2 linked regions of the Callithrix jacchus genome follow. The protein of the gene in region 2 binds, or shares a complex with, the protein of the main gene of each other region. Links are inferred from orthologs where the notes say so. Each region holds a gene or a part of one and is shown on either strand. Other genes may lie near its edges.

Region 1 (3,810 bases), on a different chromosome or scaffold from region 2:
TGCTGTATCAAGCTATGCAGAGTCTCTCCACTGGTGTCTCCTCTCTTGTTAACCAAAATTAATGTCAGGGGGAGATGGACTAAATGATTGTCCCTCCGGCCAAGCGTGGACTCTCTACTTTTCTCTATACTTTCCACTACATAGGATAGTGATTCCTTGGAATTGTAAAGGCAGAGACAGCCGTGGGGCTGAAATGTTGGCGTCTGGAAAGAGTTCACAGGAAGCCTGACATTCCCCTCTATTGGCCTCAGGGAAAGCTCATACATTTTACCATCTATCACATACTTGTCATCATTTGTACAAAGAGCTCGAATCTCGTTGGCCAACTCTCGGGCAAGGCCATCTTTGCCCAATATAACCAAGTTGATTCTATCAATGTTGGGGTCAGAGAGTGAATTTTTCTGGTTCCGGTCAGACGGTCGGATAAACCGAGAACCAATCAAGTGCTCAATCTTAGCGTCCACACAAGCTGGGCAGCTGGGGCACGTCTCCTTTGTTGGGTGGTACACAAAATGAATGTGCTTCAGAATCAGGGCATCACGCTCTGCTTGGAGTTTCTGTAATGCTTTAAATCGCTGTTCCTCTCCCAGAACGTCCTGAATGACACCCATCTTCTCCTTGCTGGGCTTAGCATCCAGTTCCAGCTCATAAAACAATTCGGAATATTCCAGAAGCAACTCCTGAAAGTCTTCCTTTGCTTTATCTATAATTTTCTTTTGGTGTTTGCCATAAATATCCATGTATACAGATTCTTCCAGCCACTGGTAGAAATCTTCATTCATGATAAAACTACGGGCCTCTTCCCAAGGTTTTCCGGGAGTTATGAAAAGAGAGGTCTCCAGGTTTTCTTTAAATGCCCTTCGCATCTCAACTCTTTTCCTCTCGTTCCTCAACTTCTCTAAGTGGGCCTCGTACAGCTGCTCTGCAGGGACGGTATCCATTAAATCAAAGGGAATCCGTTCGTTTTCCATGTTGTCGATGTGGCTGGTGGCATCCCATGGTGTCTCTTCAAGCACAACAAACCACTTCAAGAATTCTGGCTTGGTTTCTAAGAGCTTTTTGGCTTTTATGCAGCTTAGGTGGTCTATTTCATCTAGATTAGGTATAAGAGCTTCAAAAGCTAATGGCAGGGCTGCCAGGTACAGCTTTCTCCTACGCTCGATATGCTCGTGCTTGAGGCGGTGGATGTGCTGGAGAAACAGCTTCTTGGCTTTCTGAGTCCCTTCCAGGTAGACATAGTCCTGGTATTCTGGGGAGGCCTGCATCTTTCGGTTGACACTCAACCAGTTCTCATTGTGGTTTTTCACAATGCGACTCACCAGCCACTCATACTTGTCTTTTGCTGTAGCTATCTGCTGACTCTGCTGCTTGAGAGCTTCAAAATAAGGAATGATTTTTGTCTTTCCCCGACTTTTATCAATGAGTTGCACTAAGGTGCTGAAAGCCAAGTCTACGTTTACATTGGACCTCGCTGAGGTCTCCACAACCTGGAGGTTCTTTTTGCTTAAGGCGAAAGTATGTGCATCTCTAATGTACCGCTCAACACCTTCGTCACACTTCGTCAGGACCACCACTATGGGCTTTTTCGTTTTTGCAAGCTGATTGTAGAGATTGGAGACAAACTTGAGCTGGTCATCAAAGTTCCTATTCATGCCCCTGCTAACGTCGATACCAAGAAGAAAACCATCAACCAGCAGCTTTCCATCTGGCATTTGCTTCTGCTCAAAGTCCTGCTCCAGCCCCAGCTGGTCAGTGCAAAAGTACATGAGTTTTTCAGCTGATGCGAGCTTGGTTGCAGCAGCTCTCTTAATATAGGGCTGCAGGGCCGTGCTTCGATGAGGTTGAAAAGTCTGATCATCAATAAATTCAGTCTGCTCCACAATGTGCATCTTACATTCCACACAGTCCTCCAGGGAGCGGCTAACTTCTCCCCAATAGAGGAAGTGGTCATTATTGACCACTCGCCCTCCAAAGTCACTGGTGCTGAGGACGGAGGTATGGTCCAAGTGAAACTCGTCAGCACTTGGGCGCACAAAGCGGTTGCACAAACAAGACTTTCCAATCCCACACTGGCCCTTCTCCTTCTCGGTCCCAGACAATCCCACCACACTGATGTTGTAGGTGGGAATTCGGACATCTTGCTTTCTTGCCATCATCATCGTCGACACATCCTGCCACGATCGGCCACTTCCGAGATCAGATTAGTGTTTCCAAGGGACCAGACGGCTTCCTACATTATTAGAGGGGGTGGGCTGGACATGCAGCAAAAATGCCAGCTCCTATAGTGTCAGATACCAGTATGGTCACTGTTCGCCACTTCTCATCGCCAAATAGCCAACATTTCTTCCTAGAGGACGAAAAAAAAGACAACCCATCAGCATCATAATTTTAGAACCAAATTTTAATCAACGAACTACAGTAAAAAATCAACTTTTTATTCAACAAGTATTTAGTAAACATCTCATGTGTCAGGCCTTGTGCTGGGTGAGAGCAAATAAGACTTATATCAATGTGTCCTCAGAGAGGTACAATCTAGTCCAATGGAAGAAGACATAAGTAAGCAGTTCTTTTTTGTGCTAAGTTCTAAAACAAGGGTGTGAAGGCTCCCTGGAAAAAGGGCTGATTCCAAGGTTAGGGTAGGAGAGGAACAAGATGAACCTGGAACATCTTTTTACGCAAGAAAAAATAATGGGGCATCTCACAAGGACACAGGGGCCAGCCTGAAGGGGCTCCCACTGGCCATCTCTGGGACAATTTGAGTGGCAAAATAATTAAGTATCGTAATGAATTATAAACCCGTTGCAAAAAAAAAAAAAACAAAAAAAAACAGGAACCTGGACCAGGCACGGTGGCTCACCTGAGGTCAGGAGTTCGAGATCAGCCTGGCCAACATGGTGAAACCCCATCTCTACTAAAATAAAAAAGTATCTGGGTGTGGTGACAAGCACCTGTATTCCCAGCTACTTGGGTGGCTGAGGCAGGGGAATTGCTTGAACCTGGGAGGTGAAGGTTGCAGTGAGCTGAGATCGCGTCACTGCACTCAAGCCTGGGCAATAGAGTAAGACTCTGTCAAAACAACAACAAAACATGGAAGCAACCCAAAGTATCCACCTACACATGAATGGATAAGCAAAATATGATATATACGAGCAATATAATATTATTCATGCTTTACTTTTATTTTATTTCATTTTTTGAGACAGATTCCTGCTCTGTCACCTAGGCTGGAGTGCAGTGGTGTGATCTTAGCTCACTGTAACCTCTGCCTCCCAGGTTCACGCAATTCTCCTGCTTCAGTCTCATGAGTAGTTGGGATTATAGGTATGTGCCACCATGCCCAACTAACTTTTGTATTTTTAGTAGGGACGGGGTTTCACCATGTTGCCCAGGCTAGTCTCAAATACCTGGGCTCAGGTGATCTGCCTGCTTTGGCCTCCCAAAGTGGTGGGATTACAAGTAAGAGCCGTCACGCCTAGCCTATTTAGCCTTCAAAGGGATGGAAATTCTGACAACATGGCTGAATCTTGAGCTAAGATTATGCTAAGCGAAATAAGCCAGTCATAAAAAGACAAATAGTGTATGATTCCACTTACATACAGTACTTAAGAGTAGTCAAACTCACAGAGACAGAAAGTAGAACAGTGGTTGTCAGGGGCTGGGGGGAAGGTGGGAATGAAAAGTTACTGTTTAATGGGTACAGAGTTTCAGTTTTACAAGGTGGAAAGAGTTACAGAAATAGTTGCATAAATTATGAAAGAACTTAATACCTGAACTGTACAGTTAAAAATGATTAAAATGGCAAGTTTTATG
Region 2 (4,497 bases):
CTCAGGAGGCTGAGGCAGGAGAATCACTTGAACCTGGGGGGCAGAGGTTGCAGTGAGCCAAGATCACTGACACTTCACTCCAGCCTGGATGAAAGAGCAAAACTCTGTCTTAAAAAAAAAAAAAACTATTAACACAAGTTTTTTTCAACTACAATATCCTAAATATATCTAATTTAGTTATAAACTGTCATAAGACTAGATTCTTTCAGTATGAAAAGTTACATTCTGTTCTTCATAACCACGGTACTGAGCATGCAGTGAGCATTTAATAAAAACTGAACTTTTTTCAAAAGCAGTGCTGTAGATGGCATTTTTAACCCTCTCAGAACACTCCCAAAGACTCTGCATTACAGACATAAGTTGGAATACCAACTTATGTCTTGGTATTCCAACTTATCACTTGAGGTCAGGTGTTCAAGACCAGTATGGCCAACATGACAAAACCTCGTCTCTACTAAAAATACAAAAATTCTCCAGGCATGGGGCACGTTCCTGTAATCCCAGCCACTCGGGAGGCTGAGGCAGGAGAATCGCTTGAACCTGGGATGCAGAGGTTGCAGTGAGCCGTGATGGCACCACGCACTCCAGCCTGGGCAACAGAGCAAGACTCCGTCTCAGAGGAGAGAAAAGAAAAAGAAACAAAACCTCTGAATTGTCCAGCGTGACTGTCAACATATGAACCAAATCTTTTGTCCTGATATGCACCAAGGTTGTTAAAATTCTAAGGGTCAATTAAGAGTTACATTCGAAATCTATAAAACAAGTTTTGCCTGATACCACTTCCCATCTCAACATTCTCATCAAGGTTCACCTTTACAAATAAACACCTAAGTTCAATTAAGAGAACAAGTGAGGAGGAGGTATTAACTAACATGAAAAACAGTCACTGTCCTGTATATTCTGCAGACTGTAGAACTTAATTTTCAAATAGAATACTATTCTGGCCACCAACAAAAATGCTTAAGGGAAGATTTATTAATTTTGTTTTACCTCACTGTTGTACTTCTAATGTCTCAACTATAAAAGCAGTGCATTAATAAGTGGGAAGCTATGGAAGAAGATACAGACATTGTTGGAGTATAGGCTCTTAATCACACCTATAATTCACACTACTGCTTTCCTTTCTCTCTGACCCAAGTTCTCATTAAATGACTCTAAGACTTTTCTGCATCACTGTTTTCTATAATCTGAAGCTGAGATGTGCACTGAAATAAAAACATTCTAACCAATATATTTCTCAAATTATTAATATAGTACTTGTTTAAATATTGGTATTCAAAGCTTCCCACTCATCATCTAGCTTTATCAAGGAACACACACAGGTTATACACTATGACTGCCTTGGTAGCTGCAGCTTGACTGAATCCTGGGACATCACCTCAACTTGGAAGGGACAGAACCATATCTGGTTCTCACTGGATACACATTTTCTCATGCTTTCCAGCTTAAAGACTTTACATCTTCCCAGAGGAACAATAAATGTAGGAAGACACCAGGTAGTATGCCTGTAAGGAGGATGAGTGATCAAATTAAATTCCTACTTCAAGAAATCTGAAACTTCAAAAACTTTTCCTAACAAATCACAGCTGAAAAGATTAAAAAAAAAAGGATGATTTACCCCTTCATTCTCTCTTTCCTGGAGACAGCTTCACACATTCTGAAGAGCAGTCTTAACTTAACTGAAGAGCAGTCTTAACTTACTGAAGAGCAGTCTCAACTTACTGAAGAGCAGTCTCAACTTACTGGTTAGTTGGAGGAGCGGTCAACGGTATGGCCACCTCTTCCTCCTCGTATTCTGGTCCATCCAGAGAGTCACCTTCGTCCACTGTCCCCAGACCCGCCCCCAAAGGGGGCAGGTGAGGGGGAGGAGGCAGAGGGGGAAATACACCTCCTGGTCCGAGAGTCTCAGCAGGCAACGAAGTGAGCAGCTTGGTGAGAGACATGTCTCCACTAGGTCCAGCAGCAGCAGCAGCAGCAGCAGCAGCAGCACCGGCCACGCCAGCAGCAGCACCAGCCACGCCAGCAGCAGTACCTCCGCCTGTCAGTCCGGCTCCCCCCAATGCCCCTGCCACAGACCCGGTTCCTAGGAACCCTGACCCCAAAGCGGCTCCGCCACCCAGAGTCCCAGCCACTCCGGTCTCCACCAGCCCAGGATAGGGGGCGGCTGCCACTGGCAGGGCCGCGGGTATCCTCACCCGACACACTGCGGGATAGGCACTGGAGCCCGCAGCCGCGCCGCCTCCCCCTGCTCCGGCAGTTACCGGGCCGCCTTCCTCACTGCCGGCCTCGGCCGCCATCATGTTGAAGCCCGCTCTACTCTGCCCTACACTGCCCGCCCGGGAGCCCCGGGGGCCACCAGGCCCGGGTTCCGAGCCGCCCCACCCAGGCGCGTCTCCCCTTCAGCTCCCCAGGCGGAGGAAACAACAACAAAAGGAGAGAGCCGGCCGCCGCGCCCCCTCCCAGGGCCACAGCCCAGGCTCCGGAGCTGCCTGGGTTACGGGAAGCGAAGTGGGCAAAAAACCCAACGCCTGCACAAACGCCACCCAAACCTCACTGCACACACCCACACTCACGCACACACACACGTACAGAAGCGAAAACTTCCTGACTGCACTAAAGAAGATAGGAAGCACAGGGAAAGAGGCTGAGGCGGCTATCGCTCCTTTAGACACCACCACCGCTTCTTCACCACCCCAGTTCCGGCCACCCACACCGCAGCCACCGCCGGTGCCGCTGTATACGCTGGGACCACTGCAGCCCCTTCATCCTCCACCAGGCAGATGGTGGGGAGGGACAAGAGAAAGAGGGGCTGGGTAATGAGGAAATCTACTGAACTGCTCACTACCTGGAGCTCTCAGTGAGTGAAACCGGAGAGAGAGAAAGGAAGGCGGGGCAGGGGAGGAGGGACGGAGGGAAGGAAGGGCGGAGGAGGGAGAAGGGCAGCTTGTGCGCAGGCGCGTTCCCGGAGCGGTGGCGGGGGGCCGGACCTGGAGGAAAAGGAAGAGTCCAGAGGGAAGGAAGCGGCGGGGACGCGCGGTGCGTGGTCGCGCATGATGTCCTGCTCCGGTTCGAAGCGTGTGTCGGCTCGGCTGCATCATCTGTCGGCGTGGCTGGCGACGCGCGCCTGTCTCCCGGGGCTTTGTTTGATGAGCAGGAGAAGAGGGAAGGGGTACCTGAGCTCGCGGGCGCTCAGCACTGTTAAAGCCTGAGAAACGAGAAGGGGACCGGGAGGTGGTGGAGAGGAAACGGGGGAAAGGGAAAGGAAAATGCCCAGAAACTACCGGAGGAAGAAACAGCCTTAGCCAGCAGCGCAGAAACCAGGCAAGGGTCAGGTAGCTTTGAAGATCAGGGCAGTACTATTTATGTTTTCTTTTTAGTTTCATGCTATAAATCACCGTGACTATCACACACGCACAAATAAAATAGATTCTGAAACTCAAAACGAAATAAAAGGCACCATATGAGAAGGATGGAGAATTTTGGTAGAAATGGTGGTTATGAAGTCAGATTTCTATGTATAGGCGCACGCTTTTCTTTACCAACTGTCTCATATACTTAACCTTTGCCGTTTCAAGTATGTTGGATACTAATGAACCGGGGTGGGGGGTGGGGGTGCCACAGAAAACACTCATCAATGCACCTTTGTCCTCGTCGTAATCCACAGTGCAAGCACCTTCAACAAGTCAAATGTCAAAAATGTCCCAGTTATGATTATATATCGTTTCAAAAAGTATCAATAAATTGAAAACTCATATTTAATACAATTACGGAGAAGGGTTTTGTCTTTTATACTAAAATATATACAAACTATTATATGCTTCATATAGAGGGAGCTTCCCATGGTTTGAAATTAACCGTATTGTTATTTTTAATTCTCCCACGAGTGATCCCAACCACATTGACTACCACTTAATATTGATCTTCGAGATCAATGTTTTCTCTGCTAAGGATGATTAAACCAACACTAGGGATGGCAAGTGGCTTTGATAGAAACCCAGGAAAAAGAGAAAAGACCACTAAAAGAGGTGACAAGATGCAGGCAATGGATCTTCTTTGTAAGCTTGCCTATTTACCTAGTCAATGACAACAATCTACCTTGATTAAGGAATAGTCCTGGGGCCACCATTGTGCTTATCTCTTAGGCAGTGTACCACCTGGCAGGAGGAAGATGGACCACTCACAGGAAATAGAGTTCTCAGAGTGAACTGAGGTCAGCAACATCCTAGGAATTCAGAAATGCCACCTCAGACCCGCTAAATCATAAACTGCAGCAATTCCATTTTAACAAGCCCTCCAAGTGATCTTTTGCACACTAAAGTTTGAGAACCACTATATTAATGTATAGTATACTAATCAAGAAGGAGTTATACAATACCTAAAAAACAGAAATAATAGATGTCATTCATTAGGTAGGTGGGTAAGATATGTGGGTTTTGAGTTGCTAAGCCCTGTGCTGTTCTAGAAATGAGAATGAAATAGTCCCGTAATACTTAATAA

Evidence for each region.
Region 1: the proteins of RASA1 (region 2) and ARHGAP35 are in contact, whole or in part, in a crystal structure (PDB 8DGQ), measured with the Homo sapiens proteins. The link is inferred for Callithrix jacchus from reciprocal best matches to the Homo sapiens genes RASA1 and ARHGAP35. Residues at the interface, in NP_002881.1 of Homo sapiens: Arg188, Arg207, Ser209, Arg211, Val217, Asn228, His229, Phe230, Arg231, Ile241, Gly242, Tyr256, Leu262, Leu263, Lys264, Lys358, Ser379, Asp380, Asn381, Ser387, Gln397, Arg398, Phe399, Lys400, Met411, Gly412, Gly413, Arg414, His425, Tyr426; in NP_004482.4 of Homo sapiens: Ser1085, Asp1086, Tyr1087, Ala1088, Glu1089, Pro1090, Met1091, Asp1092, Ala1093, Val1094, Val1095, Arg1098, Glu1100, Asn1103, Ile1104, Tyr1105, Ser1106, Val1107, Pro1108, His1109.

What each region holds. Positions count from the first base shown.
Region 1 is NC_133523.1:40,889,012-40,892,821, reverse strand, and holds part of ARHGAP35 (rho GTPase-activating protein 35), read right to left. Parts: intron 2,348-3,810; 5' UTR 2,160-2,347; coding exon 1-2,159.
Region 2 is NC_133503.1:123,602,019-123,606,515, forward strand, and holds the start of RASA1 (ras GTPase-activating protein 1), read right to left. Parts: upstream 2,890-4,497; 5' UTR 2,301-2,889; coding exon 1,744-2,300; exon of another isoform or gene 1,657-1,743; coding exon of another isoform or gene 1,619-1,656; intron 1-1,618. UniProt on the Homo sapiens protein: Inhibitory regulator of the Ras-cyclic AMP pathway. Stimulates the GTPase of normal but not oncogenic Ras p21; this stimulation may be further increased in the presence of NCK1.